Linked DNA regions of Drosophila melanogaster. The protein of the gene in region 1 interacts with the protein of each later gene in a pairwise test. Each region holds a gene or a part of one and is shown on either strand. Other genes may lie near its edges. The genes, in order: PGRP-LC and pirk.

Region 1 (16,621 bases):
GCGCTGGCCACAGGATGAGCGACCATGCCCACATGCTGCACAAAGGATTTAATGAATTTTGTAAATTTATTAAAGCCGCACGCATTGCAACCATGGGCAACCTTTCGCCGCTTTTTCGCCTTGCAGTTCCTGCGACAGACGGCCAACATAACAACAGCAACAACAAGAACAACAACAACAACAACCACGAGAACAACAATGGGGGCGAAAAATTTAATTAATTGCAGTCCAGTAGAAGGAAAATTGCAGCATCAGGATCAGATGGTCCTGGCTGCTGGCGGCTACTAGCATTCCAGTGGAGCAAATACTACAACAGCACCGGGAGCAGGAGCAGCAGGCAATCTCGCCCCTCGGCAATCAGCGGGGGCGGGTCAAATCGGCATGGCCTAATGATTTTCCTGTTATGCCAGCGTTGAGCCAAAGAAAACATAATAAAGCCAGACAGAAAAGAAAGAAAAGATGTTCGGGTATTTGGAACAAAATCGTTTCGTTTGGGCACAAGGATAACGACAACGACAAGGACTTCATTACCAAATTGAGCGGCGACTGCCATCGATGTACTGTACTCAGCTATGCTGTGTCGACTGTGTCGACTGTGTAGACTCTGTCGTTTCCGTTTCCGGCTGCACTAACTGACCGACGAAGCAGCTGCACCAATACCAATGCGCTAGCGAGCATCCTGCTGATGGCGATTTATATAAAGATATAAACGTGGCCGAGCAATCAAGCGGCGATGGCGGCGATTTCCTCTTCGGACTCAGTGCTTTCAGTGCTTTCTTCCTAAGCGCGAATTTCGCCGACGGGCTTAAATATCGCCTCCGAAAAAAAATCCATCAAAATCTTTGCCGACTCTTGAGGCCATAAACTTGTGATTGATACCGAATTTAATCAACTCGAGCGCATTTGGCATCGTATCTCATTTTGGTATTCTTCTTTTTCGGCTTTCCTGTCGGCCGCTTCTTATATTTTTAATTTACGCCTCGCAGCACGATTCTGCATGGCTTATCACAGAGATTGGCAAACGGTTCCGATTCAGTGCACTTCAATTAGTTGGTCCTGCCGGAGAATACGACACCAGAAACGGGGACGGATCATCCGTCCGGCGTTCACTTTTTGGCAGGACGCTTCCGCGGACATGGTACGTATTTATTTCTATGATTACTTGTCCTTTACAGCGAGGAAAAATGTCATTGTTATGAGAAATAGTCATTGTAATAGGAAATGGAAATATTTAATAAACATTTAATCCCACAAAAATTTAACTCTATACTATAGCATTTTAAAATTTCAAACAAATATGTTTATATACAATATTTTAAGGATACAATTTGTGGTTCTTAAATATTGATGTATAATTAAAATGTTTCCTTTAATTTCATATTAATTTTTGATTTCAGTAGAATGCAACAATGTATAATTGAAATATTTTTCCTCGTGCATAATATGTTTTTGCTCTGGTCTTGTTGTGGTTTTCATTTTCAATATGCACAAAAAAATTCCGGATGTTCATCAGCCAAATGAGAAGCATGCTGGCCAAGAAGAAGACGCAGAAGGCCAGTGGAGAAGCGGAAAATGCTTTCACTCCGATTCTCGGCCGGGGTCAGGGGTCACGAGTGGCGGCGAGTTGAGTCGAGAAGGTCGCTGCGCTTACAAATTTCAATTTGACTAAAATTGGTTGACACACATTGCAGCAACTGCAGTGCACTCGCTTTTTATTTTCCAGCTACTTTGTATGTGTGTGCGAGTGTGTGCGCACCGCCGAAATATTCATGCAAATGCACTTAAAACATTTTAAAAGCGTTTCTGCGGTTCAATTTGCATAATTCCAGCCACACTCACACTGTAAAAATGCACAACATTTTACCACTAATGGTGCATACAACCATTCACTGTGTGCGTTTGTGTGAGTGAGCCTGCACTCTCGCACACATGTGCATACATTTAATTATCGAAATGGCAATCGCCCCGCCCTCCGCCCCTTACTGCAGACTTGAACTACATTTCAGTGAAATTGACCAGAAGCATACATTAAATTGCACGTGGCCAGTAAGCGGAGAAAGGCGCCTCAGTGTCCCAGTTGCTTGGATTGCGACAAAAGGACACAGGATCCTGATGAAATCGGTCAAATCGTAAACAGTGTTGCCGCAACCCAATTAGGCATAGTACCAAATTTATTAAGCTTAGCTTTGAATGAAAATGAAATTGGAATGCCGATTCGTTTAAAACAAATTAGTAGTTCCTTCATAAGGTAAAATGTACCTTTATCGGAATTCAGATTAATTAATACACCATTTCTGTATAATCATATTAATTTCATAAATAGTTATATTTTATCTTCCATTAAAATAGGATTTCTGCAGTCTAACATAGTTCCAGAATGCTATAAACCACCCCTTATTATGTATGTTAAGATTTAACATTTTAAGGATGGCCATATAATGTGGATCCAATCCTTATGTTTACAGACAAACTTTACATTACTGTTATGTGACCATAAAAACCCCTTTGTGGATGCTAAAATCAGAACAGCGCAACCATAAACAACCCCCTACATGTAGATCCAAAGGTATAACATAACATGGGAACAGAGTGTTAGGATTTTTCATTGCATTAACATTTCTGTTACACTTTCCGCTCCACTTGAACACACAATGTGTTCCCATGTTAATGCAAGTGCTTGTCGCTGTTAAAAAAATAACATTTAAATACTAGAATTTATTTCTGCATATACGTACGTATGTGGCGTCCTTTAAACAGCTCAAAAATCATACAAAATCATTAGACAAAATACGACGCAAGCTAACCAAAGTCACGCACCAAAGTCTGCAAGTACTTGCGATAATTGTGAGAAAAGCTGCGGGAGAAATTTAGACTTCGACACGCAGTGCATTTGGAAAACATTTGCTTAAATGCCGCAAACCAAAACTCAGATAGCAGAAGAATGAAATAGGCACACAGACGCACACTTCATATTGCAACTGGGTTCCGTTTCTGCACGTTTCTGACACACATGCAACCCACTGAGCACCCAACCCACTCCGACCCACTTCAGACCACCCATTTCAGACCGACTGCCACCCACCAACTCGCGCGCTTGAGCTCAATGGTGCACCACAAAACGCGCAGCCAATACGCCCGCGGGTCTATGGTAACTTGGGATCAGAGGGGGTGGTATTGGGATATGGGAATGGGTATCTATGTTGGTACTGCACAAGCAAAAAAAAAACTGTGGCATAAAAGAAAAAACGTTATTCATATCAGAACTAAGATACTTAAGAACTACTAATATATTAATATGTATATATAGTATAGTACATAGTATAAGTATATACTATACATAATTCTAAGAAAATAGAATGTAATAATACAAGGCAACAAATAGTATGTAACTTAATAGTTATATAGTTATATTTTATATTATGTAAAAAGAATTAGATGTTTGACAAGATGATTGACAGCATTTATTTTTTTCGAAGTGCACTTGGTATTGGAATGGATGCCAACTAGCACGCGAGATATTGATGTGCGCAAAATATGCCAAATATCAGTGAGGAGGATGGCCCATACATTATACAATACACACATGTGCACGAGTGTGAGAGCTGCCAAATCAAGCGCAAGCCCAAAAGTAGCAACAAATAAAATTTTATGCGCTGCGCGAAAAGTTTTTTGCTTTTGCATAACGCCCAGCAAATCCAACAATGGCCACAACAGGGAGCATCATTGGGATAGGCAATGGCAATTTACATGTACAATGCAAAAGTTTCGATTTTATTGTGTGGGAGTGATGGGGATTTTCAATTTTTTCTCTTATTTTTCCGGATGGATGGTGGGGTGTTTTTGAATGGGTTGGGTTTTCTGGTTGAGATGTCTGATTCTGTTTGTTTTTACTCTGACAGCCATAGGAGATCGAAAACGCATATACTCCAATACTCCACATTCAACGTTCCACGATAAACACAAAGGGCAGAAATATCGAGCGATTGCCGCTGCCGGCGGTTGCCAAAAAGTCAAAAATAGTTTCGAAACGCCATTTGTTGTACTTATTTTGGGGAATGCCAGTTAAGTGGAGTGACTTCATTTGCCATAACACACTCGAACAAAACCTGAATGTACTTTTCGATATCAGTTTTAAATGTTTAAAGGGGCTTTTTGTGGAAGCATTTTCTAAGAAGAATCAGTTTAAGGGCATATTATATGAAATATGTTTTCTAAGTCCTATATACAGCATATTGAATTTGATGTACGATACATTACATCTTTTCTTTACAAAACTGCTAAGTCATCCGATTTTCTATTTGTCGAATGATATAAAGAGATTGAACTCAGCTTTTTTGGAAGCCAGATAAATTGTTAGCAATTTCAAGCATGAAACGCATCGCATTCTACTTATGCACATCTACTCAAGCCGAGATGGATGCACATAGATACTATATGGCACTCTAATGTAGTTTATAACCACAATTTAACATGGCCAGCTACCGCAGATGCGGTGCATTGCCTTGGCTATATCTAATTTGCATACTGTCTGGGTCGATTATATTACTGATGCTGATGGATTCCGGACGCATACTAATCAATTGGATTGTTGAGTGTTCATAAACCGAAAGCCAATCAGTTCAGCATTAAGATCAGCCATGTTGGGGATTCTACAATTAAGGGAAAACAATGATATGATGATAAGATATTTGATAAATGTATCTGAAATCTTTAACTCGTATCTTTCTTAAGTTTGCAGAATCGGCTCTGATGAAGCTGTGGCAAGGGCCTCCAAACGTATTAGCGCACCCATGACAGTTTAAATTTCCACAGAGCCATTTTTTGTGCTGCGCTTTTCGTTGCATATTTCAGGGCGCCGCTGCCCATTGCTCTTGTTGGCCAGGAAACACAGCGAACTGCCAAATGGCTTGCGCAAAGCGGAAGAAAAACTAAAACAAATGTCAGTCGTAGTTGACGCGTTGCCACCGACCACCAGCCACCAGCCACTAGCCACCGGAGCGGTTCCAGAGCCTCCCTCCCCCCGTCATCAGCCCCTTGATCCCTGCCAGCGAAATGCAAATGTCATTTGCAGTTGACACTTGACTCAGCACTTCGCACTGTCCTAGGGCACTTTGGGGTTTTCACCTGCGTCTTTGCGCCCGGTTTGCCGCTTTACCCCAAACCCAGCCCACTTCACTTCACTCCACCCTTAACCATTTACTGCGTTTGGTGGCACAATGGCTGCTAGACTCACACACCCGCGCAGACAGCTGGGTGAATAAAAGAAAGTAAAATAAAACAAAAGTTGGGGACTAGCTCGAAAAAAAATAAAATGGGGGCAAGCTGGGGGAATAGGGTGTATGGCAAAGGGGTGCGAGGGGTGTCGACTAATGCCAACTGAACATGAATAAAGTCGTGGCCCCTTGGGAAGCTGCTACCGCTGCCATGTCGTCGTTATTCTCGTGGTCGTCATTAGGAGGGCAGACGTCAAAGTATGCGCTTTGTTTTTGCTGCGTGCCATGCAGCGTGTTAATAGCCAGGCACCGGGCTCCAAGCCACAGCGAGAAAATCCCCCCCACCCTGACCGGAAATTTGAATTAATATAGCATTCATAAGATAAAATCCCAAAAAGTCTTAGATTCCTAGATGTCAATGGGTTGCGAAGGGTATAGAAAACAAATGGTTTATAATAATTAAATAAATTATAAATATAGATCACATTTTAAGGTAAGCTAATTCTATGCCAAATTCTCTCAGTGTATTACCGTGAGGCATGAAACCGCTTGCCGCCCGAAAGCCAAAAAGACCAAGTTGACATAGTCTGGTGGATGGGTGAGATGGATCGTGATGAGGGGCCGTGGCGGTTCACATGGACCAAGAGCCATGGCAAAGTCAAGTGCTGCAGTTGCCGTCGTGTGGCGAAAGTGAAGCTTGCACAGCGTGCAGCGAGTGGCTGACATCTCGTGTGGCTGTTGGTTGAGCGTTGAGCACATTAAATTGATGCGCTTGATAAGGATTACAAAGAAAAAGTGGCTTAAAAAGAACACGTATTTAAAAAAATTGCACGAAAATTAAACGTTTTGTACAGCAAGCCAAACTAATTTAAAACATATTTCCACTTTTAGATTATATTTATTAAAACATTTTAACATTGAATGTTTTTTTTATATTCGAATATATTGAGGTTCAACGGTGCGTATGCGTAATTAAGACGCCACCTGTTCGGCTAGTCATTGAACTTGAAAAAAGCTTTGAGGGCTCTTACTTATGCTAACATCCCCAAGAGGGCGACACTTGGAGTTCAGTTTAAAATATAAAATAAATGCTTTATATTGCTCAAATTTTCCCATTAGAACATAACTATTAATAATTTAATTTATTTTCCAGATTAGCTTTGAGTACTATTCCACTAAATTCAGACACTTTATGCAAATGACTGCCAGTCATAGGCCTGCAATTAAATTGTAAAAAATGCAAGATAAACTTTAAAAATTTCCCAGCTGAAATGATTTTCATGCCATGACAATATAAAAAAAACCGGAGAGTGAGTGCTAATGGAATCGCAATCACTATAGTGCCGAGTTAGCGAGCCAAGAGAGAGGATTCGATATTTTGTTTACTTTTCAGTTTCATCCCCACCGGCTGAAATGCAACTTTGAGCAGTTGTCGTTCGACTGGCGCGCCAGCTACGTACTCCGGAAAGAGTCACGGATTTTCTGAGATTTGATCATCTGAGATCGTCATATTCAAGCAACCCTTTTTAAAACATAAACAAGGTAAGGTTTTTGCCCTTTTCATATGGCCTTTTAAGGAGCAAATAAAAGTTATTATCTGCAATTACGTTGATACATTCTTAAAACAAATAAAAACCAGGAGATAAGTGGCTTTATAAATAACTAATTTTATGAAAAACCCGTAATATAACGACACATAACATATGATGTTTTCAGCAATCCAAAACGAATCGGCAATGTTCGAGGAAAACAATAGCCCCACAACCGATAATTCGCTGTGGACACTTCAGGGTCGTCAAAGAGCGAGTCCCGCCCAAAGGTTGCACAATCTCACGTCCGCCGGCTCATCGACCTCATCCTCCGGCCTTCCGTTACCGCAGAATATCTTCACAAATCCAGCTATCCAGCCGTCCAGCGTTATAAATCTCAACCACTCCACCGACGTGGTAATCGGTCCCATGACCCAATACCAGGGACCGGTATCCATATACTATATGGATTATATGGAGGCACACGCCATGCAAACGGCTGCAGGTGAGTCCCCGATCCTGAATGGAAAATTATAGTTGTAAACGGGAAAATTAAAGCAACAATTAATTAATAAAATTAACATATTTCTACTGTATAACAATATAACAATAATATACGAGAATAATTATATTTTTTTTGCAAATACTATTCACTTTTTTCCCAATGTTTTTAAATATTAAGCTAAATAGTGCAGGGTGCTGAACTTTACCCAAATAAAAAGGTATTTTTTTTTGGTAAATTTAAATTATTTTAACATAATATATTTATTTTCGAAACCGGTTGTTTTAAATTTATTATGTTCAGTTGCCAGATCGTGGTTAATTTCGATTTGGGTATATCAGCAAGTTTTGATTCAGATCACGAATCAAACTAATTACTAATAAAGTGTTTTATTACGATTTCACTTGACAAATTCAACTATACGACAATTGCATGTTCTGAAGATCTTGTTCAAAATGTTAGCACTTGCAATTAGTCAGCTTAAATGAAAAGAAAAATTAAATATGTATAATTCATTATGGATAATTAGTTCCACAACTCGATCGATCACTATTCTTTGGCTATGGGTTCAATAATTTAGCGAAAAGAACAGAGCAAATGAGTGAAAAACCAATGTAATTGAAATGCAAATAGCGTGGGGCGGGATTCCCGGAATAAACGTACACATAAAAAGTCGGGATCTCGAGCAACAAGAGAGCACTCAACGCTCAGTTGCACTCGGTGGTGGTGAGAGCTAGTTTGTGGATCAAACTTTAGCCACTTGCGATGCACGGCGCATATTGCGCATACGTCACGTAGTACGGAAGAGCGAAAGGGAGAGAGAAATACGAGAAGTAAGAGTGCAAAGCGTGAGTGTGTAAAAAATGTGATATGCCAAAACAGCAACAAAAGGCCGGCGATATCATCATGACGCACCCTTGCCGCCCCCTCAAAACCCCACTTCCAACCACTTCCACCCCCCCCCCCCTCGTCAACTCAACCCCTGGCCTTTCTTCACGCAAGCAAACACAAAACATGTCAACGCAAGGGTAGAGCGAGATGGCTGACTTCCAGCGCTTTTGCAATTTGTATGGCTGTTGTTTCTCTTTCTGTTCCATCGACAGCTGCGCCGCATTTCAGTTGTTTGTGCGACGGGTTCAGGTGCGGTGGCGGTACCAGTGGCACTCCGCCGTCCGATTATCGGTCAAACCCATTGTACCACATTATAAAACAATCAATTTGCAGACCACCGCTGTTCCCAGTATTTGCTATGATATTTGTTACCGATGACTCAGTGGTCAATTACTCATAATAGATATATAGGCTTATAATGCCGTGTTTTGTGTCCAATAACGAAGAGGTGTGATAAGCTTAGTGGATCGAAGTGCCATGAAACTGTTACTAAAAGTTCACTCGGAACGCACGGCGCGCAGAAGACGTACACCCGAACCCAGTTTAGCCCACTCCCGGGATTCATCAAGTACATACATAAAATCTAATATCTACTAATAAATTAGATTTACTCAGCGCTTTCACAGGCTTAACTAGATCCGTGTTTTCCGACACCGAAAAAAATATTTAGAGGCCTGAAAGATAATTGAGCTTAAAAACGTTTTAAAATTATTTAAATTTTCTAGATTATGATTTTAAGTTTCCGACTTGTTTGTTGTTATAGAAATATAAATGCTTTTGATATGCAAAACCGTAAAATGTTTCAAAAACATTTTAAGTCAATATATCCATTGAAACGATACAATTTCTTGGCTTTTGTGAATCATATGCTAATTGATTGACTTTCGCTAATTAAGGAATCAACAGCAACAATGCCAATGGTAATGGCAACGCCAATCGAAGTCGTGATAAGTCGCCATCTAGGCGGGTCACTCGGAACACCATCCTGCTGATCACGCTGATCCTGTTGGTCCTGGCCACCGGATTGATTGTGCTCTACGTGGAACTCAATCGACCCAAGCCCGAGTTGCCCAGTAATAAAGCCATCTATTTTGGCAACAACTACGACCACCAAACGTGTAAGTGGATGGCACTTGTATAATCCATATAGCCAATTCACCAATTCTACAGTTCCGAATCTAGGAAACGGCCATCTCGTCGTCGACAGAGAGCAGTGGGGAGCGTCGAAGAACTCTCATGGTCTGACCATTCCCCTGAAGCGACCCATTCCCTACGTCCTAATCACCCACATTGGAGTGCAGTCTCTGCCCTGCGATAACATCTACAAGTGCTCCATCAAGATGCGCACCATTCAGGATTCAGCCATTGCTGAGAAGGGTCTGCCGGATATCCAATCCAATTTTTATGTAAGCCTGTTCTTGTTCTGCACTCTTTTACGCGCCTCAATGGGAAACATAGTTCCTAAAATAAGCCTTGTATAATACTTTTTAAGCCTTAAAAATCAAAATTTCTTCGAGTGTAGTAGGGAAAAGAAATCCCGGCGCGTGCATTTGTGTTCCCATCACGTTCACGTGCCATTTTGGGCATTTCGCTTTCCGCTTACGCAAATTGTCAAATTTCCGAATTTGTTTCGACCAGGTTTCGGAGGAGGGTAACATCTACGTTGGCCGCGGCTGGGACTGGGCCAACACGTATGCGAACCAGACATTGGCCATTACCTTTATGGGCGACTATGGCCGGTTTAAGCCCGGTCCCAAACAGCTGGAAGGTGTCCAATTTCTGCTGGCCCATGCAGTGGCCAATCGAAATATTGATGTGGACTACAAACTAGTGGCGCAAAATCAGGTATAATTACTTACTATATATCTGGCATATCTGGTGACATAATAATTTAATTGAATATTTTCCAGACTAAGGTGACCAGAAGCCCGGGTGCATATGTGTATCAAGAAATCCGGAACTGGCCGCATTTCTACGGCTGCGGAATGGACGAAGCACCGGCCTGCGGCATCGAATTGGGCATGAAAACGGAATCGTGGGACGCCAAGCAATAGCTACAGACTTTTCTACCACCTAAGTGTAACCAAGCACAAACTGTATTTTAATACATATACTAAGGCGAATGGAGCTTTCTTTTAATCGGTTATGCTGGCTTCGAAACCAAAGTAAACCGGTTGGGAGCAAGCGGTTTATTTATAGTAATATATATATATATAGTGTCTCTCTTCCTCTCTGGAGCTCTGTTTAGTTTTACTGTCGCTCAAAAAGCTGGAAATTCCCAAGCCGCAGTCAACCTCTATCAGTGCCAATACCAGTACCCCTTTTATTCCCTCATAGACTTTAACACTCATCGATCTTGTGTGTGTCTGTGTGTGTGTGTAAATATATGAGAGCCTTTGTGCGCCAGTACAACATCATTATCGGTAGCTTCACTTCACTTCACTTATATAGACGATGTTGTGATCGCTGTGGCTGCCTTTGTCATTTATCTGCCTTTCAACGTGAATATATGTACAATGATAATAATGATGTTTTATTTTTGTTATCATATGGAGTCATTACAATCCTATTTACAGGAAGACTGGTAATAGCAGAGAAATATATTAAAAATGAAATGGATATTTGCCAATAAGATCTGCTATCATCACCGACCTTCAGTTCAAAGCCCTCAACAGAGAAGTACGTTCGATGATTTATATTGGTAAAAAAAAAAAGAAACTCCTTCGAAATGTTTATGTTTTTAACTTGCGCATCAAATGATGAGCTGAAACTATGACGACATGGAAAGCTAATAAACTAGTGGGTGTGCCTTTTAACCCTCTTTTCATCAATGACCTAAAGTCCAACCTGCCCAAAAGAGTGACGTACATACATTCATTGACTAATTAATCTCACGGCGCCTTAAAAAAAAAATTATACCTACAACGCGGAACGAATTTTTGGCCAAAACAATGACGAGAGTACGGCACGTGTAAAAACCAAAAAGAAGAAGAAAAAAACACATATGCGAAGAGGGAACCAAAAAAGTAAAAATAATTAATAATAATTAAGGTAAGAAAATATGTGGAGGTAGGTATATTAAAATAGCTATGGTGATTGATTTCGCAACCGTTGTAAAGAAATTATTATCTGCTTCATTGGAAATGATTTACAATAATTACTGGCATTTTTCGCAATAAAATAATGGGTCAACAAAGAATAGATTGCCTGGCTACAAAAGGCATAAATCATTAGATGTTTCGGTGTAGAACTTTAACTGCAATAAAATAATACATTTTAAAGGCCACTCAACAAGCTTATCAGTAAGTCAGGAACACTGAGAGAAAAAATATTATAAATAGTCTACAACTATTTCGATTAAAGCTCGTTGCGCTTTCCACTTATAATTATATTTTTATTTTTCTTTTCTGTAAGCGTGTTCGGAATTCGTTTCGCCAATTTGTTGCTCTTTACGTTTTATCCATCAACAGTTTCCCGGCGCCCTTTTCAGACTATCAGAGATCGCCGAACCGCCGTTCGCCTATAATTACATTAAATATTTTTCAACACAAGTACAATGGGTCAAGCTGGAATTGGAAGAGAAAAAAAAGAGCTATGTACACATGTACATATGTATACATATATATATATATAACTGGCCTGTACCACAAAGTGAAATAGCCAAAAACCGATTGCGGGCCGCAAAACAAAACAATTCTCGGAAATGGTAGCGCAATTTAAAATGTTCACATTTTTGCCCACACTGCAATGTCTGTAAGTGTTTTGGTAGACGGGAGAGAGCCGGAGATTTGTGTTGTTTATTGGTTGAATAAATAAAAAATATATATATTTATATACATACATATGTACATATATAATACGTATACGCCGATTTGTCTGTGTCGATGTCGGTGCGGACGACTAAACAACTAAACAAAAACAAACAGTCATCGTCAGGTGGGAGAAGTTGGAGAGACCATTCTCGAGCCACGGGGCGTAGCTGGAGGTATCGTTATAAATTTGACTAATATCTGGAAGATTTATAAAAAAAAACCCGAAATCGAGAACAGGTTCCGCGACTTAATGACGCTCGGAAAAACCGAAATATGCAGCTCGCCAGATGCAGTTATCGGAATTCTTTCGGTTTCTTGGGATCACTCGCTTTTCGTTTAAACCAGTTTCGATTGAGAAAAAGTTGTACCGCTATCATAAGTTATTAAAATGTACAGTTTTTTTTAAGGAAAATTTAAATCATTGCATTTTATTGGTTAACGCTAGATTACAAAAAGGATAGAAAATACAACAGAACGCGTTCATATTATGTAATATGTAAACACTATATGTTAAAAAATTATATTTTCTAAAACGATTTAGAAGTTTTTTGGAACAAGGCTTTTGAGTTGCACTCTTAAGATCTTTTGAGAAATCACTTATTAAAATGCAAATCGGTAACAAGTTGGACTGCCTGAAAATCGGACTCAAATTAAACAACTTTGGTTAAATAAACGCAAAAACGCCGACCGCTCTCTCCCCATCATTCTCTTTGTTTTTTTTTTCTCAGCGATCTGCTCTCCCTCACACACGCTCCCCACACGCTGCCATATCAGACGCTCCAGCTTTTCAGGCCGCTGCGATTTGATCGCCGCTCAGTTGATCAGAGTCACTCGAACGCGCCGCTGCTCAACGATTCGAAATTGGCGCGAAACGGTATAAAAAGTTCGACTTACAAATTGGCTATATAGTATAGACGCTCAAATATCAAACGAGCTGCAACGGTTTTCGTCGGCAATTTAAAGTGCGTAACGATATGCAAAGTGTTAATATAGAATAGAATATAGAGTGATTATATAGAATATTACACACCGCAAAATAATCATAATCCTATTATATGACTAGTGACAAATAATTGAGCAATTATATCGATATTTAAGTGCAAACTAGTTTGTTTCTCCAATCGTTTTATGTTCCAGGAATGTTAATTAGCCTTTCGAAACACGAAAGGAAGTGAAAGAAATTCGTGGAAGTGAAAAAGAAAACATGCTATCGAAACATCGATCGAAAATCAATTAATTTGCACATAGGCCATATTTAATGATAATTTTGAAAACACGTAAAACATCAGAGTTGTTAATTATTATCGATTCTCCAAACAGAATACAACCAAAACAAAGAGCACCCATATTGTGATGATCTGTGCGTGTATTAGTGACAATGGCCGCCGCTCCCGTGCACGTGTATTGGTGCGCTCGGTAAACTCAAAATGCCATTCCGTTTCTCATTTGTAGCCGTTGTCGTTATTCGGTGTATTCCATTTGGTGTTATCTCAAAAGCGTGCTCTGTGCCAACTCTCTAGAACATCGATTCTAAAGTATAAAGTCGCTACCCTCCAAGGCACCCTTTCAATTCTATCGAGTTTATCACAATTCGCGGAATTCTTTAAAATAGAGTTACTGTTTTGAAATTGGCACACCTCTTCGGAAACCTTCGTATCTACGTATCATCAAGACGTCACGGCATATGCCCATAATGATCTTTCAGCCTTTTGAAGACGTCACTCGTGGCTTTCGAATATCCAAAATTAAGCATAACATGCATATGTATGGGTAACAACTACTACTTTTGTGTTTCTCGGAATCCACTTAAGTAAATAGACTACGTCAATGATTATAGCTAATTTGCATAAGCCTTGCATTCGTGCGAGCTTACTGACCAACTATTTGAATCGAATTTGACGAGTATACAATATAAGTCAACTGTATACATACACATATATTCCAGCACTATTCAATACCCTTATATCTTAATTATACAAACTTCACTGCCATACAACAGCAGCAACGTTTTTTATTCGCGTTTTAAAAACTCTGTTGGCAATCGAGCTTATCAACAATCGTGTATACATGAACTAAAAGCGTTGATTGTACTTATAAATCATATTGCAACTGAACGATCTAATGGATTGTGATAACAATAAAATCACTTTTATAAAGCATGTGTAATTGAAAAGTATTAAAGAACTGACGAAATATTTTTCTAAATTGTGTGTGTTATCCAAACCGTTTAATAATGCTCAAAGCTATCAAATAAATATCACTTAGCTTATCGCATAATATAATATCAGCAATACATTGTTAAAATATATACATATATTTATCAATGTTCTAAAAACACTTGCACACAAGGGAATTATGTGGTTTTATCAAAAATAAAAAAATCAGTGCACCATAAAGCCAAAGTGCCTCCCCAAAGTTAAGCCCACTTTAGCCCAATTCAAACAAAAAATTTCTTCGAAATTTGACAACGTTTGACTAGCTTATTATCATCAAGTTAACCGGGACCAACAAAAAAAAAAACGTATACTTATTTGCAGATGCTCATGATGTGATGTTTGCCGAGAGCTGTGCCTAGTCAGCCGTTTTGCCATACGAAAAATAATGTACCGCCCAATCTGCTAAATAGGAAGGCTAACACATAACGCTCAGAGATCCAGAGAAAATATCAATCTGGTTACGTGACTGTCACGATAGTTCGACATGCCTTTTAGCAATGAAACGGAAATGAGCCAATGTTCCAATGCGAAACGTAGAGTAAACGATCCGTTGACTGGACCAAAAAACTGCAGTACTTCGTCCACAGACTCGGGCGTTATACTAAACGATAATGTGGCGGCATTCCGGCCGGAGAAGGAGACCAAAGATCGGGGGACGGGCGAAGGGCAGTTCCAATCGAAATCGGAAGAGAAAACGGAATCCAAGCGTATCAGCGTTGAGCACACTGTCAATATAACAACGGAAAATGTTGGAAAGACATCTTCGCCGGCGGTTTCCATACGGAGTACCACAATTTCCGTTGTGTCCATCGATGATAATGCCATCGACTCGAGTAGTATTGATAGTGATTCGGAGGCCGAAGCGGAGGATTATACGGTCCAGAAGCTGGGTCACCAGGTCACCTACCCGCCCAACAGTTCACACCTGCGCGACCTTAACCAGGGTCTAACGGTGATCAGTCGCCATGTGGCGCCAGGTGAGGCGGCAGTACCACCACCCAATCCCCTGGAAGCTGGCATTGTGGCCAAGCAAATACTGAACGGTAATCTGGCCGTGGCCACGCCCACATCGCCGGCGGGCGGTGCCACGCAGGGTATTGGCAGCATCGCCCTGACCAACTCCACAGATGTGACGTTCGGTGATAAGCATTTCTACGAGGGACCCGTGACGATACAACAGTTTCTCATCGATAATCGGGACAAGTGGAAACCGGGCGAGGGACCAGCTGGTGGACAGGATAACCCCGCATTCAATGGTGGTCCCAGCACGAATGGAAGTGCGCCGGGTAAGACATTCTAAGCTAATTTAATAGATTGTATTTTAAAATCTAAATCTGATATCGTTTAGTTTTTGTACACTATACTAAGAATGGAATCTTAAAAGTTGTAACTTTCGATTGCTTTCGCATCTTTCTGCATAGTTATTCTTGAGGATCGTTAGTTCGATAATTTCAACTTTTTAGTTTTCTATTCTAAAATATATATTTTCTGGGATATATATCCTTAAAACATATATATATTATTTTGCTATTTCCTGCTGCCTTTGTTTGCGTTTCATTTCTGTCTTCACCTTGCCGCGGTTCTGTTTGCTTTAATGGGCCAAAACTGAGCGCGTGTGACTATTTGTTTACTCAACCCAATTGGCCAGGTCTAACGACCGTGCTGCGAATGGTAGATTAGCAGATGGCCCACAAAGCAGACAGATTCATTGTATGCGCCTAGAACAAATACTACATGTTACTATAAAAACATATTAAATGCATTTAATTGCGCAAGGCAACAAAACTCATTATGGAAAATTTTGTTAAAATGCCAAATAATTTTATTACGTATAGAAAATATTTTAGCTTGAAAATTAAAAAATATTTATGAAAATCACGAACCCAAAATTTGTCTCACATAAAATAAAATTCATGAGAGAAAAAGTTTTAACGCCAATAGTGTCGGGGGATTTTTTAATATTAATACATTTTTTATTACTTATAGAACTCGTTTTTTATCTCCCTGTTTTCCGATTACAATCTCAGCACAAAAAAAAAACAAGTAAAATTTCATTCACGAAAAGAAAATGTATCTCTGCCGATTCAAGGCCCCGCAGCTCGTAAATCAAATCGGTGAAAACTTGCGATAATTACGCACAAAAAAAAACCATAGCAACTGCAATTGTTTACTTGATTGATTTTCACAATTACCATAATTAAATCGCCGTTCTGGTTGGCGAAAGTCTCCAATTGGAATTGAACCAGGGGTTCGAGTGTAAATTTAGTCAGCTGTAGTTAAGTGTTGTTTTTATAAAGGCAGGTGCTTCCCCTGGATCACGCAATAAATACTCATATAAAGCGGGGGGGTTTTTTGCGTGCGGCTTAAATACTTGCTAAATGAAAAAGTGAAAAACAAGAACAGTTCCTGCATACTATGTGCGCGGATCGGGAAAAGTACCCAACGATCGGTTTCAGTT
Region 2 (15,773 bases), on another chromosome or scaffold:
AAAATAATAATAAAAGTAATTTCTGTCTTCATACCAAGTAACTTTTTTCAAATATCCTAAATTTTTAATAGCTTGAGTAAAGTAATTTAAATTCATCAGCAATTAAAAAAAAGTAATTAGGTACAACTGCCCGGATACGTCCGCTTCCATCACTGGTTGTGGCAAAAATAGTAGAGTAATTATTACTGCACGGCTTTATTTTCTAATGCCATTTCACTCCACATTCAACTATAAATAGCTGCGTGCGAGGCGCTGATAAAGCCGCCCCGAAACCAAACCGATTTGAAATCGGAATCGTTATGGTATGCCATGCACCTGCTGCTATATGCGAATCCGAGTCGGACTCCCAACTCCCAAACGCTTGTCTTGGCGCTAACGAGAGCATAACTTGATGAGGAGGCCTCAAAGGCTTGAATGGGGGGAATGGGGATGGGGATTTGCTTTTGGGCGGATGGCTTCGGCTTGGCTGGCTGCACCGGCGTTGCATGTTGCAAATTGCCGCATTAGTGACTGCACTTGAAGTCGAACGACCCGGCAGATGTGGAAGCCAGCGGGCTGAGACTATCCTATCACCAGAAGAAGGCGATGGTTTAATTGGAGCTGTGCGGCTGGGTACGCAGATATTTTAGCGAAATGACGTAGCCCATGAAGGTTTTGGGGGGGAAGGTGGAGGAAAGGTGTGAATGAATGGCCTTTGTTCGCATTGATTTTCCTCTGCCTAATATTTAACCTACATTTTATGGCCCGCCGCTCGAATTTCGGTGACACACTTTGGGCCAAAAGGAAGTGACTTGGCCGGCTCCTTTTCGTTCCTTTCGTTTTGTTTTGGCCATGACGCGTTTTGGGGGAGTTGGCCGGCTCCCAGGCGGCTTAAGCTTCCTATTTGCGAATTGGTTTTTTAATCGCTTGCCGCATTACACGCAGTTTTCTTGCATCTCATTAACGCTCGGTCACACTTGAATAACGAATTTTAATACCTGCCACGTCCACACTGACTGTGTTAGTTTGGTCCTGGAGCGCATTATATAATTTACATTTGGGTTTTAAGTTTAGTCTAATTCGGAAATAGAATGTATTTGCTGAAAAGCCGCAACAAATAATGGAAACGCGACGAAACGTGGCCGCTGCCTAACTTAAACTGATGGCCGACCAGCGGTAAGTGAGCAAAATGGAGGCCTTCAAGAGAAATATTGCCTACACTTCAAATCCAAAACAGCACACAATGCCCCCCCCCCCCACACACACACACACTCGGTGCCCCAACAGTTTGCACACGCAGACCCGCTGAGATATCGAGACTGGCGAACTGAAAAGCCGAAAAGAAAAGGCGACCGGGGGCGCCAATTCGCCGCGACTTTTCCGCGAGTTTTCCGCATTTCGCCGCCTAGCGAGGCGGCTGCATTAGCCGTTTGCATGTCGTTGTGTTCATCTGTGCGGCGTGTGCTTCTTTCTCAGCTCTTTCTGCCTCTTAGACAACTTTTGATTGCTTCCCCCAGTTTCCCCCGGCTGGCTGTGACACCTGTTGGTATGTCTGTGGCACGCGATGTTCCAACACTTTTGTACTTCTACGCCGCACTGCCTGCCACCGAGAAGCTCAGTCAGCTAATTTTTCATACTTTTCGGGATGCCTCATAACTTTAATGCCACTTGTATCTATTGAATGCACGCATGTATTTCAATGAACACTTTCGCTCATTTCACTTTAATGCAGTTTTATGGAGTTGGAGATTGCACATAAGAGCTCTGATTGAACGTAATGATAGGTATTAATAAAAACTTTCCTTTACTGTGTTCAAAAAAATCAGTTTAAAATACGCCTATTGATTTAGTATTGAAAGTAAATATATCCTTATTTTAAGTGTTTGAATATTTTATCCGCTAGAATGTCAAAAAATAGTTATGCGTCGCCCAAAAATTAGGATCACTTAATCACTGTGTGAAAGGTGTCTCTGCCCATAAATATTGCAAAAGGCTTCGGCAGAAGGACGCTTTTCCTGCACTCGACTGAGTGAGTATAAGACCCTCGGCGAGTACACTGCACTTTCCTTGGCTTTGGAATAGGGTCAAAACCGCAACAAATTCCGCGTTGCCTTGTGCAGCGGCTAGGAGTCAACAACACTTGGCCCGCAGCTACGAACTCCTTGGCCAGCCGGGCACTGTTGCAACATCAAGACAACAACGGCAGTGGCAGCAATAACGCCTAAAGACAGGTATGTGTGCAAACACAGACCACCCAAACCAAAGCCACGAATCCCTCGGAACGGGGGGACTTTTAAGTGGCAGTGCCGGAGAAATCCTTGGCTAATGTCGTGTTAGCCCCCAAAAACCCGCCCCTTGTGGGGTCCAACTCGAACCCCCAGTGGAGTCACACGGAGTCACAAGTCGGGGAATTCCTAGAGACATCTACGAGTTAATTGTTTTGGGCTTTTTCACTACACAACCGAGTTGGAAGTTTTTAATGTTTGCGATATATCCGACGATTTCTATCCGATTTTAGGCAGTTTGGTTTTAATTTTTAATGCACCGTTACTTGTAGAGTTATTGTCATAAAAAAAAAGGTGAGAGATTTTCAAATAAAAAACTGAATACCCAAAAAATTCAACGCGCATTTGCATCGATCCGATGCACTGCACTCGCCGTTCGTAGAAAAACTAATCCGCCGTGGGCAAATACCTTCTTATACATCGTCCTGCGCCGTGGAGCTCCACGGCAACTGACCAGTCGGGTTTAGGTGAAGAAACCACCGAAGAAAGCCGAAGTCCACGTTTGGCCAGCCACACGGGTATACGTGGGTCAGTAAACCTACTTCCGGTTGACATAAATACGCCTTGGACATGAAAACTTGGCACTGGCGGCGCGCCGCAAGTTGTTTTTATTGTTTCTAACCTCTTTTTTTTTTGCGCCATGACTCAAGACAGGTGGACAGCGTGGAGTCCACGAGTGCAGGTGTGCAGATGCAGATCTGATTCCCCCAATTGAAGGGGCTTCGATTAGCCGAGCCCAAACTCTTTGGCGGATTCACTTGATCTGGTTGAGAGAGCGCAGCAATCTAATCTCGACTTTGGGCTTGGCTAATCAAAATTCGGGAATAGTGCTGACCCTAATCTAGTGTGCCAAGCCCATGGATGAAAATTCATATAATTCAAAACTGCACCTTTGCTCACTGGGAGCGGTTGGGTAATTTTATTCGCTTGCAATAAGATTTTCCCACGCGATATGTGGCTCATCTGCTGGTCAGTTTTGTCCTTTTGCCATATAATTTGGTATCCTTGGAAGGGAATGGAGTCTACATCATGGGTTGACCCACATCGGGCACAAATTAATATCAATTGTGGCTGGCAGATTGCGTGTGCGAATATGCGGAGGGCTGGAGTAACAGCTGGACGAAGGCATGGGCATGGGATTGAAAGGCATTCAATTGTAATTGGCTGTGACCGAGGATTACACAATGACTAAGCGGTGCTCCCTGGCGAAATTAAGTCATAATTATTATGATGTGTATAGGCTTGTAAATAGCCGAGCTCGGTAATAAAGGTCACATTTTGTAGGGCACAGTCTGGGATCCTACGGTCCCGATACTCTGACCTCTTTACCGGGCTGCTAATAATGTAATTGTAATGAATGAATTAGTGGGGAACTCCAAGGGAGAGCTGTACTTCGTTGGAAATTAAGGCATTTAGACAATAAAGACTTATTTAGAACGAATGTCTTTATAAGCAACTACAAGGTACTAGCAATTTTAAGGATGGTGGGATGCTTCTAGTTCTCCACTTCATGTTTATACAATACGGCTAGGTTCATCTCAATCGTGTTCACCTGATCCTGCAGATAGTCGATATCGTGCTCATGTTGCAATTGCTGCTTCACCAGGCTGGTGATGTCCTTTTTGATGAACTCCTCCGCCTCGGACAGCTCGAATTCCATTTGCAGAGATGCGCCCACTTGAAGGGTAACCTTTTGCACTGGCGGTATGCTCACCCATCTGAATACTCCCTGTGCGATTTGCACGAGGCTGTGAACTTCCTTGTCAGGATTGTCTATGAACCTCCTCACCAATTCCAAATTATTTTTGGCAGCCTCCAAACGGGTTAACACTGCTGTGAGGTCAGTCTCCAACTTGGCAGCCAGTTCGCTGTATTGCACATAGAAAAGGCGTTGCATCTTCAATGCCGCTGGAACAGTCGAATAGAACTCTGGCTTGGCGATGTAGCTGACGACATCGTCAACTAACTTGGCCTCTGGGATGGGCATAAATGACTTTCGGCCGCCCAGAGGCGGCTTTTTTATGGTGTCTATGAATGCAAACATTTTCAATAATTGTTGAACTTGTTTAGTACATCTAATTCAAAGATAAACTGATTTAATATCGTATGCAAATTAAACAGCATTATCTGCTAGAATGTATAAATTTTCTTTCTCTATTTAAAGTACTCCGCATTGCGTCAGCTTAAAATCCAGCATGGTCTTTATTTTGCAAAAAATGTTATTGTGATTTCTTAGACCTAGAGTACATATTAATGTATCAATAATTTAAAAGCGCATTCACATAGATCCTAATCAAATATTGTCATAGTCTTCGTCTAATTCGAAAACGGTTTCAGTGGGGGTCGCTGATGCCGCTGTGGCCTTTGGAATGATGGGAGCGCTGCTCTTTCCAGCCATTTGGTTCACATTATTGTTGTCCCCCGGCGTGGCCGCTGGTAATCCAATAGAGGCGGGGGGCACACCACTGCCAGGTGCTCCACCGGCCACGATATTCGTCAGATCGATATTGATCACCGGAGCAGCTATGTCGAAGTTAAAAGCTCCAGATCCGGCGCCCGATCCTGACCCAGAATCAGAGGCGTCCGGTGTGCACAGGTTCGCCGTCGGCATTTGCACGTGGCTGTAGTCGATCTTGACAATGGGCTTGTTGAGTTCGTAGTTGCAGATCGGGGCGGGTATGGCAGTATCGAGCTGCACCGACTGTTTCTTGAGGTGATTGGGCGGTCTGCCCCGTGGCGTGTAGGCCGGCATGGACCCGGAGCGGGCCAGCTTGGCGGGCAGGGTGGTGCTGGTGGTGGGAGTTTCCTGGGTGGAGTGCTGCGACTGAAACTGCCGCTTGGTGGCTGCGGCTCCTCCGCCCGATCCGGCTCCGTTGTTCAGACTCATGGAGCGCATGTAGGCAGCTGTGCCGTTCGCCTGCGAGCGCATTGACGTCGATGGCAGGCTAAGATCATATGGCGTGTCTGAATCTGGATACTGTTCCTCTGGCGAGCTGCGTAACACATCGTCCTCGTTGTAGGCGGCCTCCTCGGCCACACTGATGTCGGGTATGTTGCGGACCAGCTCCTTGAGGAAGTCAAAGCGTTTCTCGGATACGATACACTGCCTCATGTGCGATGGCGATAGCGTCTTGGCGTTGCGCGCATTCGTGATGCGCAGCGTCTTGGTCAGCAGCGACTCCACGAAGAGCTCCAGCGTGCGTGAGATGATAACAGGCACCGCCTGGGCCACCTTCCCGATTTCCTCGTCGCTTTGCATGATCTTCTTGATGCGACCCTGCAAGGAGTTTATGGTAATGGTTTGGAAACATTATAATCTCGCACCGGTTTGGTTTCTCCTCTACTTCTTTTGAGCCTCTGATTATGCGAGGCGTGTATGTACATATGTATGTACACATGCACGAAAACTGATAACCCATCTTCGGCGTTCACGGCCGCCAAATGGCTGGAGCTTTCCTGTCGCCAATCGGTGGTTTCAACTTACCGCCGGAAAGCGTGCGTTGTATTTTTTCTTTTTCGATGGCATTTTCCGATTTGTGAAGTAATCGTCAAGAGTCCTAGTGAAATAAAACAAATGTGTGTGTGTTTTTCACACAAGAACAGTTCCTTGGTGCCCAACTGTCGGCGTCGATGGGTGAATGGCAGTTGCTCTCGCAGCAGGCGGGGTATTCACAGGGAAGCAAAAGGTATTAATATCAAAATTTGAAAGATTAAAAATTTTTGTACATTATAAGAGATGTTATTTCTTTTTGTTGTTATTTATGTGATTGTTTTTTATTTTGCTTTGATGTATTAGGTTTCCTACACAGCTGACCGTCGCGCAGTCTGGCTACCTTGATCGTGCACTGTGAATGACTACAACCGCCAAGAAGAAGAAGAGTGCAGAACACTTCCAAGTACTTTTCACATATTGCAAGAGCGATTTAATATCGTAAGAATTCTGGGCAGGATTACATGTCTGACACTCGCAAGGATCCCTGCAAACCGAACGCCTGCCGCATACAAGCCTGTCTGACCAGTAAGCACCGCCGGTGACTCCATTTTCATGGTTATGTAAGCTGACTTGCACTCGGTTACAGAGAATCACTACCAGGAGGACAAGTGCTTGGATGTCCTTGAGGCAATGCGCCAGTGCTGTTTAAAGTGGCACAAGGAATCGCTTTGCTGCAGTGGAATCGATTTGGAGAAGACTTATCTACCAGACGCATCCAAGGAAAAGAACGCAACCGGCAAGTCGTGAGTTGTAGCCAACTTCTCTATTCCATATACACTATTATCAACTCGTTTTGCAGGAACAAATAATGTCCATACCGCAGTATAGGCCTCCGAAGGAAATTCAAGACTTGCTGGACCAAAAGGAGCAACAGCAAGCAAATCAGCGCAGGCGAACCGCTGTGCTACCCAAACGCACGTGGATTCAGCGAAATCCACGCCTGTTCCAGATCTCCTTCATCACAGGCTCACTTCTGATCTTCTTCTCCAAGCCCCTGTTTGACTGCTTTATCGCCGATCCCCTACCACCGCCGGAGAACAAAGTTCCGCCTCACAAGCGCTAAGCTAAGGCATGGAATCGGTGCGCAAAGCCAACCAAAGAATCCGCAACTATCCAGTTCTGCTAAGCAAGTGCGCGGACAAAGCCACTGCGTATGCGGTTTGCGTGTCGCGTGATCTAAACGTGCAGCACAAAATCTGCGACACCGAGTTCAAGGAGTTCCTAAGCTGTATCCGCAAGACCGCTTTGGAAATGAAGACCAAGCTTTAGACAAACGTAAACAATAAACACGATGACTCAAACAAAGGCTGCGACCACTGGATGGCAGCGACTGGGTCGCCGCATCCTTTACACTAGCTTTCGGACCCATCTACTAATATCCGCCCTGCTGCGAATAGCTTTAATTTGCTACGGACAATTACACGACAGTCAGTCCGCCGTGCCCTACACCGATATAGACTACAAGGTGGTGACTGATGGAGCCCGTCAAGTTCTGGCTGGGGACACACCCTTCGCCAGGCATACTTACCGATATAGCCCAATCATGGCATATCTGCAGACTTTTAACATCCTGCTTCATCCGGCGTGGGGTAAACTACTGTATGCGACATTCGATCTTCTCATCGCCACACTTATTTACCGTCTGGTGCACATGGAAATCAAGAGTCAGTACCAGAAGACCGTACAACACCTGCTTAGCAAGTTCAACAGGCCACGGGACTCGGACCAATCGCTGGATGCCCTGGATGAGCGAAGTCATCCAGAGAACTTGGCCCGCGCCTCTGCTTGCTTTTGGTTATACAACCCGCTGACGGCTGTAATATCCACACGTGGAAGCGGCGATTGCTTCTCAAGCTTCTTCGTGATACTAACTATATACCTGCTGTTAAAATCTGAGCACAATGTCACCAGGAGTTACTGGCTTATATTCGGAGCGGGCTTGGCTCACGGTCTAGTGATACACCTCCGTCTGTATCCGTTGCTATTCAGTTTGGCATACTATTTATCGCTATCAACGCGGCTGACACAAACTCCCCTCGACTTCCTGTGCCAAATCCTGCGGCCCAACAAGCAACAACTGTGCCTGATAAGTGGAACATTGATCAGCCTAGTGGCCTTCACTTGGACCTTCTACACAATGTACGGTTGGGAATATATATATGAAGCGTACCTGTACCACTTCGTACGCAAGGACCCGCGACACAACTTCTCGCTGCAGTTCCTTCTACAGTACCTGGGCAGTGCGTCGAGTGTGGCGGAACCTTCTGCGATCCTGAAGACTCTAGTGCTGGCTCCGCAGTTCCTGCTCATCCTCTACTTAAGCTTGAGCTTCGGTCAGTTCCGCCAGACGCTGCCATTCTGCATCTTTGCCGTGGCCTTTGTCATCGTCACCTATAACTCGGTGGTAACCTCTCAGTACTTCATTTGGTACTTGGCCATTCTGCCGCTCTGTTTGAACAACTTCAAGATGCTGTCGTGGAGAAGGTGCTTCGGTCTCCTGTTCCTCTGGCTGCTTGCCCAGGCGCTGTGGTTGCTGCCGGCCTATTTGCTGGAGTTCCACACATGGAACACCTTCTACTGGATTGGACTGCAAGGAGCCGTATTCTTCGCCACCAACGGATACATTTTGGAGCAGCTGTTGAGTCATTACGGGTTCACACAATTTAAGATAAGCTACAGAAAGTTACTGTAATCAAACAATCCGCAAAGCAGAGATTTAATATAAAAAATAAACACAAGATATCACAATTCGTACTGGCACTTAAAATCGAATGTAGTTAGTTAGCACTTCGTTGAGCTCAGAAACTTAATGTAATTAAATAGTCTTTCGTGCTCCTCGATACGCAAAGCGTAAACTCGATTAGATATACCCCAGACATCACTGCGTCCGACCATGTCAGTCTCGAAAACGTTGCCCAGCTTGTTCCACTGTACATCTGTGAACTTCTTTTGAACCCGACGGTACAGTGCTCGTGCACAGACTGTTTCCACGGATATATTATTGGTGTATATGAATTCCTTGCGATTCTCGTACAACTTCCTGGTGTGCGCGTAGTCGCTTCCCAGCTCCTTTTCAGTCGTGATGAACATGTGATAGACGCGCTTTCGACTCTCCGGCTTCTCGAGGCACAGGAAGCAAAGGTACTGTGTGCCGTCGGCTGGATTAAACTTCGGTGGAGCTGCAGGCGGAGCATTGGTCTTCAGTAGAATCCTGCTTAATATCGCTGGAAATGTGTGCGGATTCACTTTGGGTGCTTCCAAGACAGCCGGCGGCTTCTTTTTGCCCCTAATACGGGGTGTATTCCATTCTGACTTGACCCTTCCGGATATATTGAGCACAGGTGCCGCTGATGAATCACTTTTGTTTGCAGATACAGGTGCAGTACGTTCTTGAGCTTCAGATTCCATGGTTATAATTTTTAGAATTTTGTAATGTGTCCCTTTTAATGTTTATGCTAATACTGAGTTGTGTTGGTCAGAGGCCACTAGTTAAATAGATGGATTGTTTTGTAAAGATTCGAAATACTCAGCTATTTCACAACATAAAAGTTCACAAGCAAAGCACAATATTAGTGGTGAGCTTGATAATGAAAGTGTTCCAGAGAATGGCAACCATATGTTTATTGATTAGGGTGGACCTGCTGATGCAGGTCACAAATTTTTAAATCGAATAATACCATTTAAAGTAAAAGGGATATGAAAACAAATATCAATTTATTCATTCGTTGCGCTTAGGAACTTAGTATAGTTAAATAGCTTTGCCCTCTCTGCGTTTTCCAGCGCATACAACTTGTTCCAAAGGTTCAAATTGTCCTTTAGTCCAATCTTTTTCATCTCAAAAACATTTCGCTGCTTATTCCACTTAACATCTGTTAACTTATTCTGAACTCTGTGGTACAAGGATCGTGCACAAAGGGTGTACAGTGTTAGCTGGTCCACGACTACGATGTCCTTTCTTTTCTCGTAGGTTTTTCGCACTTTCAGATAGTCCTTTTCAATATCCATTTCATTTGTGACGAACATGTGATACACTCGCTTTCCCAACGATGGTTTCTCCATGCACAAGAAGCACAGATTCTGCTCAAAGTCGGTTAGATTCACTTTTATTACGGGTTCCGGCGGACAATTAGATCTCAATAGTATTCTACCCATTATAATAGGAAATGATTTTGGGCTTTTTACTGGTAGATCAGAAACCGATAGAATTTTATTTTCAAGACAGGAAACGCTTTGGCTTGACTCCACTTTTCCGGAAATATTAGGCACACGTGTTTGACAAGTTTTAGAAGTACTCGAACTTTTTTCTTGAACTTCCTTTTCTATTAGTATTAGTACACTCTATTAGTATTTTACAAAAAATTCGAACTTTCTTTCTCAAAATCTATGCGGTTACTGAAACTCAAATGAATTGATAGTTGGATTGTTGAAATATGACAAGCTTAGCATTAGTCACCTTTATTTTTTATATGTATCTGGTAAAAAATAACAAATATTTTGAAATTATGGTGAAATTGAGTCAGTTATTTTCTTCAAATGGCAGATAGTTATTCGACCTCACTTAAAGCTAATTACAATATGTTATATGAAACTTTAAATCTATAAGTTATATATTACATGTTTATTTTACTTGTTGGGATCATTTTGTCTCAGATAACATAGATATTGGTAGATATCATTGCACTCTTCCTGCAAGCATTCGGATACGATACCCTGTATGTGGCGCATTGAATTCTTTTTATATTGAATTACATTTTCGTTAACCCAGTGTTCTTTGGCAATCTTCTTTTTCACGCGGAAGACCATGTCTTTGGGCAGAAATGAGCATCCACTGATGATGACTCCAATTTTGTATCCGTCAGGAACGAACTCATAGTACTGCTTGCCATTTCTCGTTATCTCAGTGGCTGCAAATCTTCCGATGGACTTTTCATCCAGATCCTTGGGTTTTTCGCCATTGAGCAGTAATTTTCGCATGTGGTTCTCAAACTCGAACTCAAAATATGCCTTAGGGTTGCTTGTTTTCTGTACCTTGTAATATAGTTCCTCGGTTTCATTTCCAATACTTAAAACGTTTGTTGTTGACGTCATTTTTGAATCTAAAAGATACTTCGTAAGTGGAATATCCTAGCATGAAACTCTTTCAGCTCACCTGCTTTAGTATTAATAATGCCCGTTTGTGTTGTTTTATTTATTTACTAATGAAATCATTTCGGGTACAAGTTTCCTCAAAGCTCTAAATTAGTGATGGGTTGATTTTGTTTATAAACAATGGGAACAACGGTGAATGGCAAACAAACCACCTCCTCTTCACCTCCTCTTAGTGTTTTCATTTAGATAACACAAATATGAGTAAATATCTGATCTTTCTTGATCCAAAGCGTTGGAAACAGTTTTGATTATGAAGTTCCTCGAATCCTTCGGATACTTAGCAACGTTTTTGGATATCCAGTGCTCCTTGCCAATCACATTCTTTAATCGTCCCAGAATACCCTTGGAGTCAAAAGTGGGTCCGCTTATCATCCAGCCATTTATCTTATCAGCCGGACCGAACTCGTAGTAGTATCCGTTCTTCTTGATTTCTTTCGCCGCAAATCTTTCGACGGATCCTTCATCACAAACATTTGTCAAAGGCTTGCCGCCATTCAGTAAAATTTTCTGTAAGTGCTTCTCAAAATCAGACACAGAATACTCATTGCGTGTTTTTGTGCTTTCGAAATCTCCAGTGCTCTCAGTGCCAATAGTCAAAACATTCGAGTTGTTATTCATAATTGTTTATATTCCTACTACCGATTGGCGTTGGTGTTGTACACTAAAGTATGATTTCGTTATGGGAGCGCTTTTTATTTGCTTACTTATGAAATAAGCACCAATAAAAGCTCACGTCAATAGAGATGGGTTCTTTTTGTTTATAACAAACTGTGAATGGTTAGTAACATATGTTAGGGTGGTTCTTAAGAGTGTACTTAAAATCTAAATATATCTACTTCATTTAATTTCTTTTAAATAACGACTACATTAATTAATATAATGTCGCTTGACTCTGTTTCTATGTCCCTAAAAATTTGACTTCAAATTTTAGATGTTAAATAGATCACAAATTTTCACATTTACCTATTTGCTATTTTATATATTTACTTTACGAACTATTAGAGATGACATGATTTTGTTTATAAACGTTGTTTGTTTAAAAATCGGTGTGAATGGCAACGATTTCATTTTGGAGTGGACCTACCATTACAATACTAATTTAATCAATTAGCTGATTATACATTTCTAAATTTATACATTTTATAAACAATTTAAATAAAAAATAATTTAGATTTTTAACTGCATTGGCTATTTAAAATATTTGACATTAATAATAAATGCATTATCTTGTTATCTGACACATATGCAATATTAATGCTTTTAACACCCCATCAAAAGTATTAAAGTATCTGTCAGAACAAGTACATAACGTTCACTTATTTCGATCCAGAACATGAAACACAACAAAGCAACGCCTCGATCTTAATGAAAGATAAAACATCTGGCATCGGTGATTTTTTGGTCGGTGGGGCTTTAGTACCGGTATTAGACGCGTGCTAGATAGTGGCTGCAGGTGGTAACAGTTTTGATGGGTTATGGGTTGTGATCGAGGGGGTTTTTTCCTGGGCTCGCACAATTTCTCCATTTGTGTGCGCTGTAACTGCGCCGTGTCATATCTGATAATACACACGATTTGCCGTTATAACGCCTTCACACCGAACAAGGCTTCATACGATTATAGCTTTTCTTGAACTTTTGCTTTTGCTTGGCGAGCACACTTGAGATAGCTGCAAAAAAAGTCCCCGTTTACTGGCCCAAAACAGCGATCTGGCAAATAAATCATTTTATAATTTTCCGCAATAGATAATTGATTTGTCAACAGTGAATGCACCTTGAAAATAATAAAAAACGACCTTCTCGGCAATACACCCCTTTCATTTGTAGCCCCATAGCTGCGGTGCTTTCCCCGCACGAGTAAACATTATTGGGCCAACTGTTTAGATGCTAGCGTGTTTATTCAGCTGGCGATCTAGATACATATGTATGCTTGACTTGGCCGGGCTTTGCTCAGCTCCAGGCTTCCCAACCGACTGAGCTGGTCACTTGAACTGGCAACTCAGCTTGGAACGATCGCAGAAAATGACAAGATCGAGAATCGGAAGCTTTCGGGATATATATATAAGTAAACATATGTAAATTAAATCGAATGCCAATGAAGTCGATTGTGCAAATTACGGGTGAGATTTTTTTGTTTGTAAACAAACAGGCTCGTGAAGCATCTAGAGGAAATCATTGCCTCCGTTTCACAGATCTCACTTGGCAACTGCGTAAATATTTATCAATTTCTAGTGCTTAAAACTTTATCATCGGTTATCGTCGGTTATTACCCCTTTAGGTTGGGGTTGGTGGGTTTTTGACTCCGCGTTTACGACTCCCAAAAATGGAAATCAGCAACTATATCAGTGGACTTATTAATGATAAGAGAAGTTAACAAAAATCCCCATCAAAGTTGGGTCTGTACTGCATAAGTTGATAACAGTCTACACAGCGAAAAGTTACAATGCGTAAGTAAATAAATTCCACTTTGATGGGTCAAGACCCGAATAACACCCATTACTATTAGGGATAAGACTATAAGCACATCATTTTAGGAGAAACTATAAAACGATAAGATACAGTAATAATGTTTGAATTTACTGGTGCTGTTAACTAAATATATATTTAAACTTTATTACTATATGCTGAAGATTTGGCTAGCTCAAGTCGATGGACGAGCCCATTGCGAGGGCACCAACAGGTGGACATTACTCATGCCGAATAAATTCGGCGACCCAATCAAAGGTCTCCCCAGATGGCGAGATGCCTTTAAGTTCGCGACTCTCATGCATACGAGGTGATTTTCGTGCCGGCCCTCGGGCGAAATAAAAAAGCCCCGGCGCTAGACTCTCCGGCGGATATAAAAGCGGTTCCCGAGCGGCATTAGCGTTCAATAGCCAAAGTGCCAGCGAGCGAGCGAGCAGTAAGCACGGCGAAAGCGATACCAGAGATCGCCAAACTCAACGCACAATAAAAGTTCAGAAAACAGAGGGAGTTCCCCTGGCGGAAGCAGACGATCCCCCAGCGCTGAATTGAATACAAAAACAACACACACAATTGGATATCTTTGACCTTAGCCATCCGGATTGCTCATCATTCGGAGTCTTCCCCCAGCGACAGAGACGGAGATAGAGATAGGAAAAAGAGTTGGAGAATGAGCTAACCGACAGACTGGACGGTGATTTTTACGAGTGATTAGCAGCGGAAAGAAACGATACCGGCGGTAATTCACACCAAAATGGGCGTTCGTGTGATAGAAACCGATTCGGCGAGCGATTCGTATGACGATGACGAGTGCTCCACTTGCCAGAAAGAGCACGAGCAGGGTAAATCCCCCAATAAGAGCAAGAAAAGTTCCACGCCGCCGGAGACAACCATCTACGCCAGCAAGGATCTGGTGGGCAACTGCAAGGAGTACCGCATTGAGAACAACACGCGCGATCTCAGGATCATCGGCAATGGCAACCGCATACGGATTGTGAACAACTCCGGGCAACTGCAAGTAATCGGCAATAGCACCAGACTCAAGATCCAGAACAATAGCGGAGCCCTCAAGTACACGGGTAACGACGGAAGGATCTACCTGGGCAGCAGCTCCACGCAGCAGGTGGTCGACTACACGGGCTGCAATGGACTGCTCAAGGTGGTCAAGTCCCTGGATCTTAGCGGCGATGCCAAGAAAAGGCCCAGCTCTCGATCGAAAAACGCCAAGCCAACGCCAACGGATGCTGGCCAAGGCAAGTCCGGCGGCATTGAGATCGACAGCAATCTAACGATACGGCACGGAGCCGGGAACATTGTGATCAAGAATGCCATCAACGTGAGCATCTGAGAATCTTGAGCTCTCTAAGTCATCTTTGGCCAAAGATTAAGGATTAATGTAACGAAACTCTTGCCACCGAACGCAAAGGTTCCTATTGACTGCAAAATAGTCACTTAGTCTTAATGTGTCTTTCGACTGCTACCAATATTAACATCACCCTGCACATTCAGCAATGTCAAGTATTAAACGCCACGTCGCTAGTCTAAAAATCCATTACTATTCACAAAACACACCCACTGATTAGGGAAATATATGTATTGTATGTATATGTTTAGTCGTAACGCAGAAGCGCAGTGTGAACAAAGCCTAAACTTCATTCCGAGAATGAATAATCTGATTAAAAAATACAACTATATGTCTAAATATATATGTTTGCTGCGTTTTTCTTTGCATTTCTTGCTAAAAGAACAAAAAGTCCCCCAAAGACAACGTAACTTGCGTTTTCTTCGGAGCTTGGTAAACTACACAGATAAGTGCTTTCCTCAGCATAATGCGTACGCGACTATCTGCGGTCAAGTCGTACCATTGACAACTTCTAAGAACCACCAATTAATCACCACCATCGAGATGCTGATGCAATGGACACTGACCCATTTTCATTGTTACCGGAAAAAGCACCCGACGCTAGCCGATACAGGTACTGATTAATTAAATATATTTTGCTTTTCTATAGGTGCCGAATATCAATTCCCGGGGATTTTTTTTTTCGAGTTGACAGTTGGCATTGGTATACAAAGCAACAATTCATTACCGAAATACGAGTGCCACCTTTGCACTCACACTCACTGTTTACTCGAATGGCCGGAAAGAATTTCGAGAGATGCAAACTCAGGGTGCAATCAACCTCATTAATCTGTGGGAAACTCGAAAAGATACAGAGTGCAATTAAGATTGAGATAATTTCTTACTTTTGATTGGGATTAATTAATTAAGAAAATTGTTATCAACAACAATTTGAAGGTCGCTAATTAAAGCACACTATTCGAACGGCAAAATTATACATATTTATATAAGACAATAATAGATTTATATATAATGGTATATTTTCATTTCTTATAATTTATTTATA

Evidence for each region.
Region 2: the proteins of PGRP-LC (region 1) and pirk interact in a two-hybrid assay, tested with the Drosophila melanogaster proteins (one study listed by BioGRID).

Annotation. Positions count from the first base shown.
Region 1 is NT_037436.4:9,327,681-9,344,301, forward strand, and holds the start of PGRP-LC (peptidoglycan recognition protein LC), read left to right. Parts: upstream 1-12,757; 5' UTR 12,758-12,909; intron 12,910-14,484; 5' UTR 14,485-14,647; coding exon 14,648-15,449; intron 15,450-16,519; exon of another isoform or gene 16,520-16,621. Other genes in the region: PGRP-LA (peptidoglycan recognition protein LA), read left to right, coding at 6,950-7,247, 9,032-9,253, 9,306-9,541, 9,774-9,980, 10,046-10,189. UniProt on the Drosophila melanogaster protein: Major activator of the imd/Relish pathway and is likely to encode a pattern recognition molecule for the humoral immune response. Required for Relish processing and nuclear translocation following proteolytic cleavage.
Region 2 is NT_033778.4:21,660,264-21,676,036, reverse strand, and holds pirk (poor Imd response upon knock-in), read left to right. Parts: upstream 1-13,041; 5' UTR 13,042-13,349; intron 13,350-13,532; 5' UTR 13,533-14,119; coding exon 14,120-14,713; 3' UTR 14,714-15,070; downstream 15,071-15,773. Other genes in the region: CG15676 (uncharacterized protein), read right to left, coding at 3,760-4,308; NC2alpha (negative cofactor 2alpha), read right to left, coding at 4,558-5,541, 5,749-5,790; CG42381 (uncharacterized protein), read left to right, coding at 6,219-6,282, 6,344-6,500, 6,557-6,566; CG42379 (uncharacterized protein), read left to right, coding at 6,566-6,820; CG42380 (uncharacterized protein), read left to right, coding at 6,829-7,026; PIG-M (phosphatidylinositol glycan anchor biosynthesis class M), read left to right, coding at 7,049-8,449; CG42365 (uncharacterized protein), read right to left, coding at 8,539-9,165; CG42363 (uncharacterized protein), read right to left, coding at 10,381-10,845; CG42362 (uncharacterized protein), read right to left, coding at 11,065-11,523.